2 linked regions of the Rhinolophus ferrumequinum genome follow. The protein of the gene in region 1 purifies or fractionates together with the protein of each later gene. This does not show direct contact. Links are inferred from orthologs where the notes say so. Each region holds a gene or a part of one and is shown in the gene's direction. Other genes may lie near its edges.

The links. The genes of interacting proteins can lie anywhere in the genome.
Region 2: the proteins of USP10 (region 1) and YAP1 purify together in Homo sapiens (affinity purification with western blotting; 4 studies listed by BioGRID). This does not show direct contact. The link is inferred for Rhinolophus ferrumequinum from reciprocal best matches to the Homo sapiens genes USP10 and YAP1.

Annotation. Positions count from the first base shown.
Region 1 is NC_046298.1:30,044,699-30,048,444, forward strand, and holds the start of USP10 (ubiquitin carboxyl-terminal hydrolase 10), read left to right. Parts: upstream 1-756; 5' UTR 757-869; coding exon 870-890; intron 891-3,746. UniProt on the Homo sapiens protein: Hydrolase that can remove conjugated ubiquitin from target proteins such as p53/TP53, RPS2/us5, RPS3/us3, RPS10/eS10, BECN1, SNX3 and CFTR.
Region 2 is NC_046294.1:71,674,238-71,677,983, forward strand, and holds the start of YAP1 (transcriptional coactivator YAP1), read left to right. Parts: upstream 1-1,429; 5' UTR 1,430-2,120; exon of another isoform or gene 2,121-2,240; 5' UTR 2,241-2,338; coding exon 2,339-2,659; intron 2,660-3,746. Other genes in the region: CFAP300 (cilia- and flagella-associated protein 300), read left to right, coding at 1-155. UniProt on the Homo sapiens protein: Transcriptional regulator with dual roles as a coactivator and corepressor. Critical downstream regulatory target in the Hippo signaling pathway, crucial for organ size control and tumor suppression by restricting proliferation and promoting apoptosis.

The DNA of each region.
Region 1 (3,746 bases):
CATTTGTAGGTGAAGAAACCAAAAACTTAGGAAAAAGAAGTAGCTTGCCTGGGATCACTGAGGTTAGAAACCGTGCCAAACCAGATGGTAAACTGCGTGGTCAGGTAGGGGGCTCACTGTCTCTTGAACCAATGACCCAAAAGCTGGTCTAGCTAGATACATGTAGTATGTGTGTAATAGGTAATTGAGCGTGCTTATTCTATGCCAGGCCTCAACGCTATGAGCTTTACAAGTGCGTTGGTTGGTTTGGTTTTTAATATTCTCCAATGCCTGGCAAAAGGCGTGGCACCGGGTAGGTGGAATGAATGAAGAGTGAATAAGTGAATGAATAAAAGGAAATGTGATCTCCATACACCAGGGGACTCCTCCGGAAACTCAGCGGTCACTTCGGAGACCCTGGGTTAAGGAGACCCTGTGGTTCGGGGGACCCGGACCGACCTCAGGGCCGCGGTTCCCGGGCTCCCGACGTCCCGAGTTCCGCCCAGCACTTAGGTGGCCTCCCGCAGGTGAGAAACCCAGGCCTGCGGGGCGTTTTGGCGTTATCACCTCCATCCCCTGCCCTTTCCTCTTCCGGCATCGCAGCCGGGGTCCAGGGGTTCGTCCTCGGCGCACAGCAGGCCCGCATCCGCGGCAGAAAAGCGGGCTCAGAGTCCACCCAGGGCCGGCTCCCGCCGCGCACGCCCACCTGTCGGCCGCGCATGCGCAGCGCGCACGCGGCGCGCCCGGCCTCTCCGCGCCCCGCGGCGCGTGGCCAGTGCGCAGGCGCGGCGGCCGATGCGAGTGTGTATGTGCGAGCGAGAAGATGGCGGCGACAGGGGTAGCAGCGTGAGGAGCCGGACGAGCGTGGAGGCTCATTGAAACGGGCCGCCATGGCCCTCCACGGTCCACAGGTAGCCGCCGGCCCGTGCCCTCGGCAGGAAGGGGCCCTGAGCCGCTGGCGGGCGGGCTCCGGGGCGGGCGGCGGGCGAGCACCCGCACCCTGGCCGGGAGCGAGCGTGTGGGAGTGGGGGAGGGCGCCGGGACACGCTGCCCGGGAGTAGGCCCCGAGCCTCCCGCCGCCTCCGACTCTCGGCCTCCCACAGCCCCGGTTCGACCCGCGCCAGATCCCGCTGGGCCCCCCTCTCGAGGGAACAGTGGAGAGGGGGCGTCCGGGCCCTCTCGGAGAGGACGTGGGAGGGCACGAAGGGGTTAATCTCCTGGGTTGGACCGCGCCGGCGGTGGAATGGGGCCCTTGTCGCCCCAAGAAGCAGCCAGGGGACTTCGGGAGGCCCCCGGGGTGGCAGAGGCATCTAAGCACTGCGGGGGCCTCTCTGCCCGGAGCAAGCACCAAGATTTGGGGGTGCCCCGTTTCCCCCTTGCTTTCAAAGGTTGCTTTCTTAGCTTGATTGACCACGGAGGGCGGGGAGGCTTGCTGGTTTTCTGGTTTTTAGACTTAAGTCACTAAGGAGCAGCCTTAGGTTACTGTTGCAAAGAAAACTCGAAATAAGTCGCAGGACCGTACTTTTACTTGCATTTGAGTGACATCTTTTGCTCGAATCCACTCAGCCTGGATGACACGCACTCTGTCACAGCAGTATCTAAAGCTTAGGGGCTGTTTGTAATAATACAATAGTGGAAAGAAAGTAAAATACCCCTTTCGCTTTTAGGGAGGTGTATGTGTACAGTTGAACTCGTATCTCCGGCTCCCCCCTGCCCCCGCCCCGTCTCTTTACAATCAATCACTCTGAATAAAAAATCGGCATGTGGTATTATTTGTCAAGCTTGCTGTAGACCGCCGATTTATTGATACATAATCCCGATAAATTATTGCACACTTTTATACCATTTCAGTGTTCTTTTGTATTAAATATGGGGAAATGAAAGTAGTTATTGGGAAAACTGGTGGCGGGTAAATCCTAACCCTTTTTTATAAGCTATGAGTTTTTGTTGCTGTTTTGGAAATGAAGTCGATTTTAATAATGTAACTAATGCGTGTGGAATTTAAAACGCGAAAACTTTTTTCTTTTTAAATTTATATCTTACAGGAAACTGCAGTTTCTTTAAACTTTTGGTACTTTAGTTTGCACTAGAAGTTTCCCCCTTTAACTTGCTGTTCATGTGTACATTTACTTTTTTTGTGTTTAGTATAGTTCTTTGCACAGAAAAGGGGCTTAGTAGTTGAATAATTTTCACAAATGTGTAATTAAAAGATTTTACGAGTTTTGGTATTTGCCTTTTCTTCAACTTAAATATTATTGTAAATAGTTTATTGTTAAAATAAGCATGGACAGGTACAAGGTTCATTGTGAACTAATATAATATTCTTAGTGATTTTGAAGTGGAATCGTGTGGACATAATTCACTTCCATTACAAGCACCAATCACGATGCTGAATTGATTAAATGTTAATTAGTGGTGATAATATGTAAACTTAATTGTAATTTTACTTGTATTCATTGTCCTAGTATTTATGTTTTATACAACAATATGGCCTATACACATCTTTAGAAAATAGGGAGTGGCAGAAATCTGAACATAAATGTTAGCAGCACTTTGGGTTTATTCTTTCAAAGTGATTTTTAAATGCTTTTGAGTTATAGTGTGGAGAAGCTAACAAAGGAAATGGTATGATTATTTCTCGTAACTTTTTAAAAGCAATAGTAATGAAAACAAGTAATGAAATCATATGTGACAGGATTTAATGAGGGGATCCTGCTTGAGTCAGGCTGAGTATTTTAATAAATTCCTTTTATTCAGTAACCTTCTGTCTTGAGAATCCTCCAGCTTTAATTGCCATTCATTCGTTAATTCAACAAATATTGATGGAGCACTTACACTGTTCTAAGCAGATATTTGTATTGCTTGTTTACTGTTGGGAATGACAACCACAAAGGAACAATAAGGGTCCTATTTTGGAATTGGATTGTTAAGGTTACAATTTAAAAATTTTGTATAGATTATATTTTATTTCCATACTGTTGATTGATCCGTGTTCTCTGGATTGACATGAAACAGTGCAAAACTCAGAAATGTTTCTAATGTGAATAGCTTTCAACATTTTAACAAATACAAATGATGAACTTTGACAATTTAAGTGTAAGTATATCTCTAATTTGTGAGTATTTGTTGTCATGAGGGAACTGATGAAATGATTTGGTATAATTAACTTGAACTGATCAGTTCTGCCTTAAACCAGAAGAAATTTTGTGATCATTGACGTTAATTACAGTGAAATCCCCACAATAATGCTTCCTGCACCCTGTTTGGATATCATGTGGCTGCTCCTGTCCTGGCCCTCTGTAGCAGGCTCACCCCAGTCTTTCAGTTGCCTCGAAATAGTGAGCCTCCCATATTTTACACTATGGAATTTCTTGGATCCAATTTACAGCATGTGGCAGAGTGTTTCCTCATCATTGAATATCTTTATAGCTGATAGCGGTATTAGTAATTCTTTTTTTGTTTTTTTTTTTTTTTTGCAATTAAAAAATTTTTTTCATTAGGGGAACAGTGTGTTTCTCCAAGGGCCATCAGCTCCAAGGGACCATCAGCTACAAGTTGTTGTCCTTCAATCTAGTTGTAGAGGGCGCAGCTCAACTCCAGTTGCCGTTTTTAATCTTCAGTTGCAGGGGGTGCAGCCCACCATCCCATGCAGGAATTGAACCGGCAACCTTTGGTTGAGAGCTCTCATCTCTAACCAGCTGACCCATCTGGACGCCCCTCCGGAAGCTCAGCGGCAGCTTGTCTTCAGTCTAGCTGTGGAGGGCGCA
Region 2 (3,746 bases), on another chromosome or scaffold:
CATGGTTTCTGCCCAAAGGCTTTGTGTGGATTGATTACTGGATAGGCGAGGAAGGGGCTGCCAGCAGCATCCTGAGTGGGGGTTGCTGCAAAGGAGAGGCTGTGTACTTACTACATGTGAAGTGGTCTGTGAACATGGACAACAATGATAGCTGACGTTTACGCAGAACTCATCGCAGGCCAAAAACCGGGCTACGTACTTACTTTATACCCATTGACTCATTTAATTCCTCAACATATGAAATAGCTGTTATTACCCCTAACCCCAATATTAAAGAAATTAAAGAACAGGAAATAAGTAACTTGTCCAATGTCTCACAGCTAGTAAATGGTGGAACTGGGACCTGAACTCGAATCTCTGTAACTTCAGAACCTACAAGTTCATGGTTAAATGCACTTAACATTTTTGGTATGGGAGTGGGGATAAATCTAAGAAGCAATCAGACATCTTTGAGGGGGATTCCTTTCTCACATGCAATTGGGGTCCAGAGCAGTTGATTAGGACCTTGCTTTAGAATCTCGAGGGCCTGAAGCCTCTTCCCCTGGCCCTGCCCTACCAAACCAAATGATACACATCCCTCCTCAAAATTCTCCTGGGCAGGTCCTGGCTGGAGGAAGATTACCTTTTTGCTCTGGGGACTTTTTCTTGCTTCAACCTATTCATACATCTGATCCACTAGCGTTATAGACAACATCACTAAAACAAGAAGTTAGATTTTCTTTTAGAATGGGCTAGTGGATTTAAAATCAGAGTGATGCTACACAACTCTGAATACACTAAAAACACTGAGTTTCTTAAATGGCTGAACTGTATAGTATGTGAATTATCTCAATAAAGCCGCTTATTAAAAAAATCGGAATGTATGAGTTAAATTTTGTTTTCATTGCTTTTAATGATTTCAAATGGACTCCTTGCACTACCACATGGAGAATCAGGTGCCTGGGTGAGCTCCTCTCCCATTCATTTTTTCCTTCAGTCGACATTCATGGAGTCCACCCTTGTGCCAGGCACAGAGATAACAAAAAGGGGTGGGCTCACACCCCCTTGAGGATGAAAGGCAGGTACAGAGAGGAATGCTTCTAGCCAAAGTTGAGCACTGATTCTTTGCGCTGAGGTTTTCATGACTATGTTGCAAGTTTCAGTGGTTAAAAAAAAGGTTTTCACTTTTAAATAAGGCAATTTTGTATTTTAGTAAATTACTAGTCACTGATTAATCTCAGAGCTTCAAATTCCAGTAATCGTTTATCCCTTTCAAGGAGTTTTTTTGCATATTACAAAGTGAAAAACATCAAGTTAATGTTTTTTAAAAAAAGGACCCTTATTAAAATAAGTGCCTGTTACGGGTATCTATATTCACTCCAACCTATCCTTGAGGCTTTAAACCCGCATTGGCACTCCGGTTGGTCCAGTCGAGCTAACGCGAGGAGGGTTTAAGTGGATTTACGCGTCCCCTCCCGACGTCTTTCAGCCTTAAGCATTTCGGGGCGAACTGAGAGCCTTTCAGCCTTTCCCGAGGACTGGCCGGGAAAGGGCCGGGCTGGGCGGGAGGACTTCCTGCGGCCAAGGGCGGCCGCGCTCGCAGAGACCAGAGCCGACCCAGACGGGACCCAACGTTGGTCGCCGGGCCGGCAGCGCTCACAGCCCGGATCGACGGGCGTGCTCCCGGCCCGACCGGGAAAAGCCCCGGCGGAGGCCTGGGCTGAGGGCGACTTGGTCACGTGCGGCCGGGAGGGGCGTCCGAGGCCGGGAGTCTGCTGGAATGTAGTAACTTGCAGGGGAAAGTTTCCCTTGGCGGCCGGTCCCGGGACCGGTGCGGGCGGGCGCGCAGAGGAAGGAAGAGCCTGGAGGAGGCGGAGCCGGAGAGCGGCTCGGGCGGGCGGTTCTCTCAACTTTAGTTTTGGCGTTTGAGGCGAGTTTCTGTCTCAGTCGGGCGCAGCCGCCGCCAGGGAAAAGAAAGGGAGGAAGGAAGGAACAAGAAAAGGAAATAAAAGAGAAAGGGGGAGGGGAAAAGCAACAAGCTGTCTGGCATCCGTCAAAGGAGTGAAGGAAAAAAGTTCTCAGGCGCCGCAGGTCCGGGTCTCTCGCAGCCCCTCCCGAGGCGCAGCCGCCAGACCAGTGGAGCCCGGGCGCAGGGCGGGGGCGGAGGCGCCGGGGCGGGGGATGCGGGGCCGCGGCGCAGCCCCCCGGCCCTGAGAGCGAGGAGAGCGCCGCTCCCGCCGCCCAGCGCAGCCCGGCCCGCCGCCCTCGCCGCTTCTCCGGTCTCGGCCCGTCGAGCCGGGGCGCCCGGGCGGAGCCCTCGCCCGCCTGGTCGGGGTGCGCGTCGGGGGAGGCAGAAACCATGGATCCCGGGCAGCAGCCGCCGCCTCAGCCGGCCCCCCAGGGCCAAGGGCAGCCGTCCGCGCAGCCCCCCCAGGGGCAGGGCCCACCGTCCGGGCCCGGGCAGCCGGCACCCCCGGGGTCCCAAGCGGCGTCTCAGGCCCCCCCCGCCGGGCACCAGATCGTGCACGTCCGAGGGGACTCGGAGACCGACCTGGAGGCGCTTTTCAACGCCGTCATGAACCCCAAGACGGCCAACGTGCCCCAGACCGTGCCCATGAGGCTCCGGAAGCTGCCTGACTCCTTCTTTAAGCCGCCGGAGCCCAAATCCCACTCCCGACAGGTAACCTCGCCGCTCCTCTGCCTACTTCCCCGTCGGGCGGGCCCCGGGCCCGGGGGCGGTCGGGAGCGGCGGTGGCCAGCCCTGGCCGGGAGGTGGGGGGTCCGGGAGCTCGAGCGGGGCTGGGCTCTCGCAGAGAAGTGGAGGAACCGGAGGCGTCTGCTGGGCCGCGGTCACCGGCTCCCCGCTCCTCCCGGAGTCTGGAGCCGAGATTTGTTTTTCCCCTCGGAGTTTCTCTCTGCGGTTGCAGCCCCGGGGGGCGTGCTTTCCCCCTACTTTCTTTCTTTCTTCCTGGGGTTCCCGGGAGGTTGGCGGGAGTGGCGGGGGAGGTGGGGAGGAAGGAAGGGGGTGGGGAGAGCCGGCCCGGGCCGCGGTGGGCTTGCACAATGCGCGCGCCTCCGCGCGCTCAGCACCTTCGCTCCCGCCGCCGCCGCCGCCGCCGTGGGGAGGGGGAGGGGGGCCTCTGGCATTTGTGTGTGGGTGAGTTGCCAGCGGCGGCCGAGTTTGTGAAGTTGAGCCCCGAGCCCCCTTTCCTTCGGGGCCTCTCGGTCCACTTCAGGCTCCTGGAGAGTCAAATAATTGTTCTCTTGTTTTCCAGTGTTGATTAGGGGTGGGGGTTGATCCAGTCCCTGTAGTTTCTTACTCTTTCTCCCCCTCCCCCTCCCGAAAGCATTTATTTTCCTCGCGGCCCCGGCGCTTTATGAATACAGGATCCAGACTTTCCTGGAAGTTGTTTATGGAGTTAGTGCTTTCACCCCTGTGTTTCCCTTGTGCCTTGGAACTCGGGCAAGCTCACTCTTATCAAACTTAGTAGGTTCACGTGTTGATTTCCCAATTGTAGGCTATTATTTACAGTCTGCTGAAATGCTTTTAAATTAGCCACATCTGCACGTTGCGCAGGACCTGAGCTGCGCTTTACCGTGCCTTGGTTTTAACACAAGCCTTTGAAAATACACTGCAGGTTGACTCATCGCCGAGTCCTGCCTCGTTCAACTGTGATTACAAGTTAATGTTTGGGAAGCGATGACTAATTCGAGACTCGCCATTGCTTTTTAATTCTTATTGAGGATATGAACATGGCTGGTCGCCT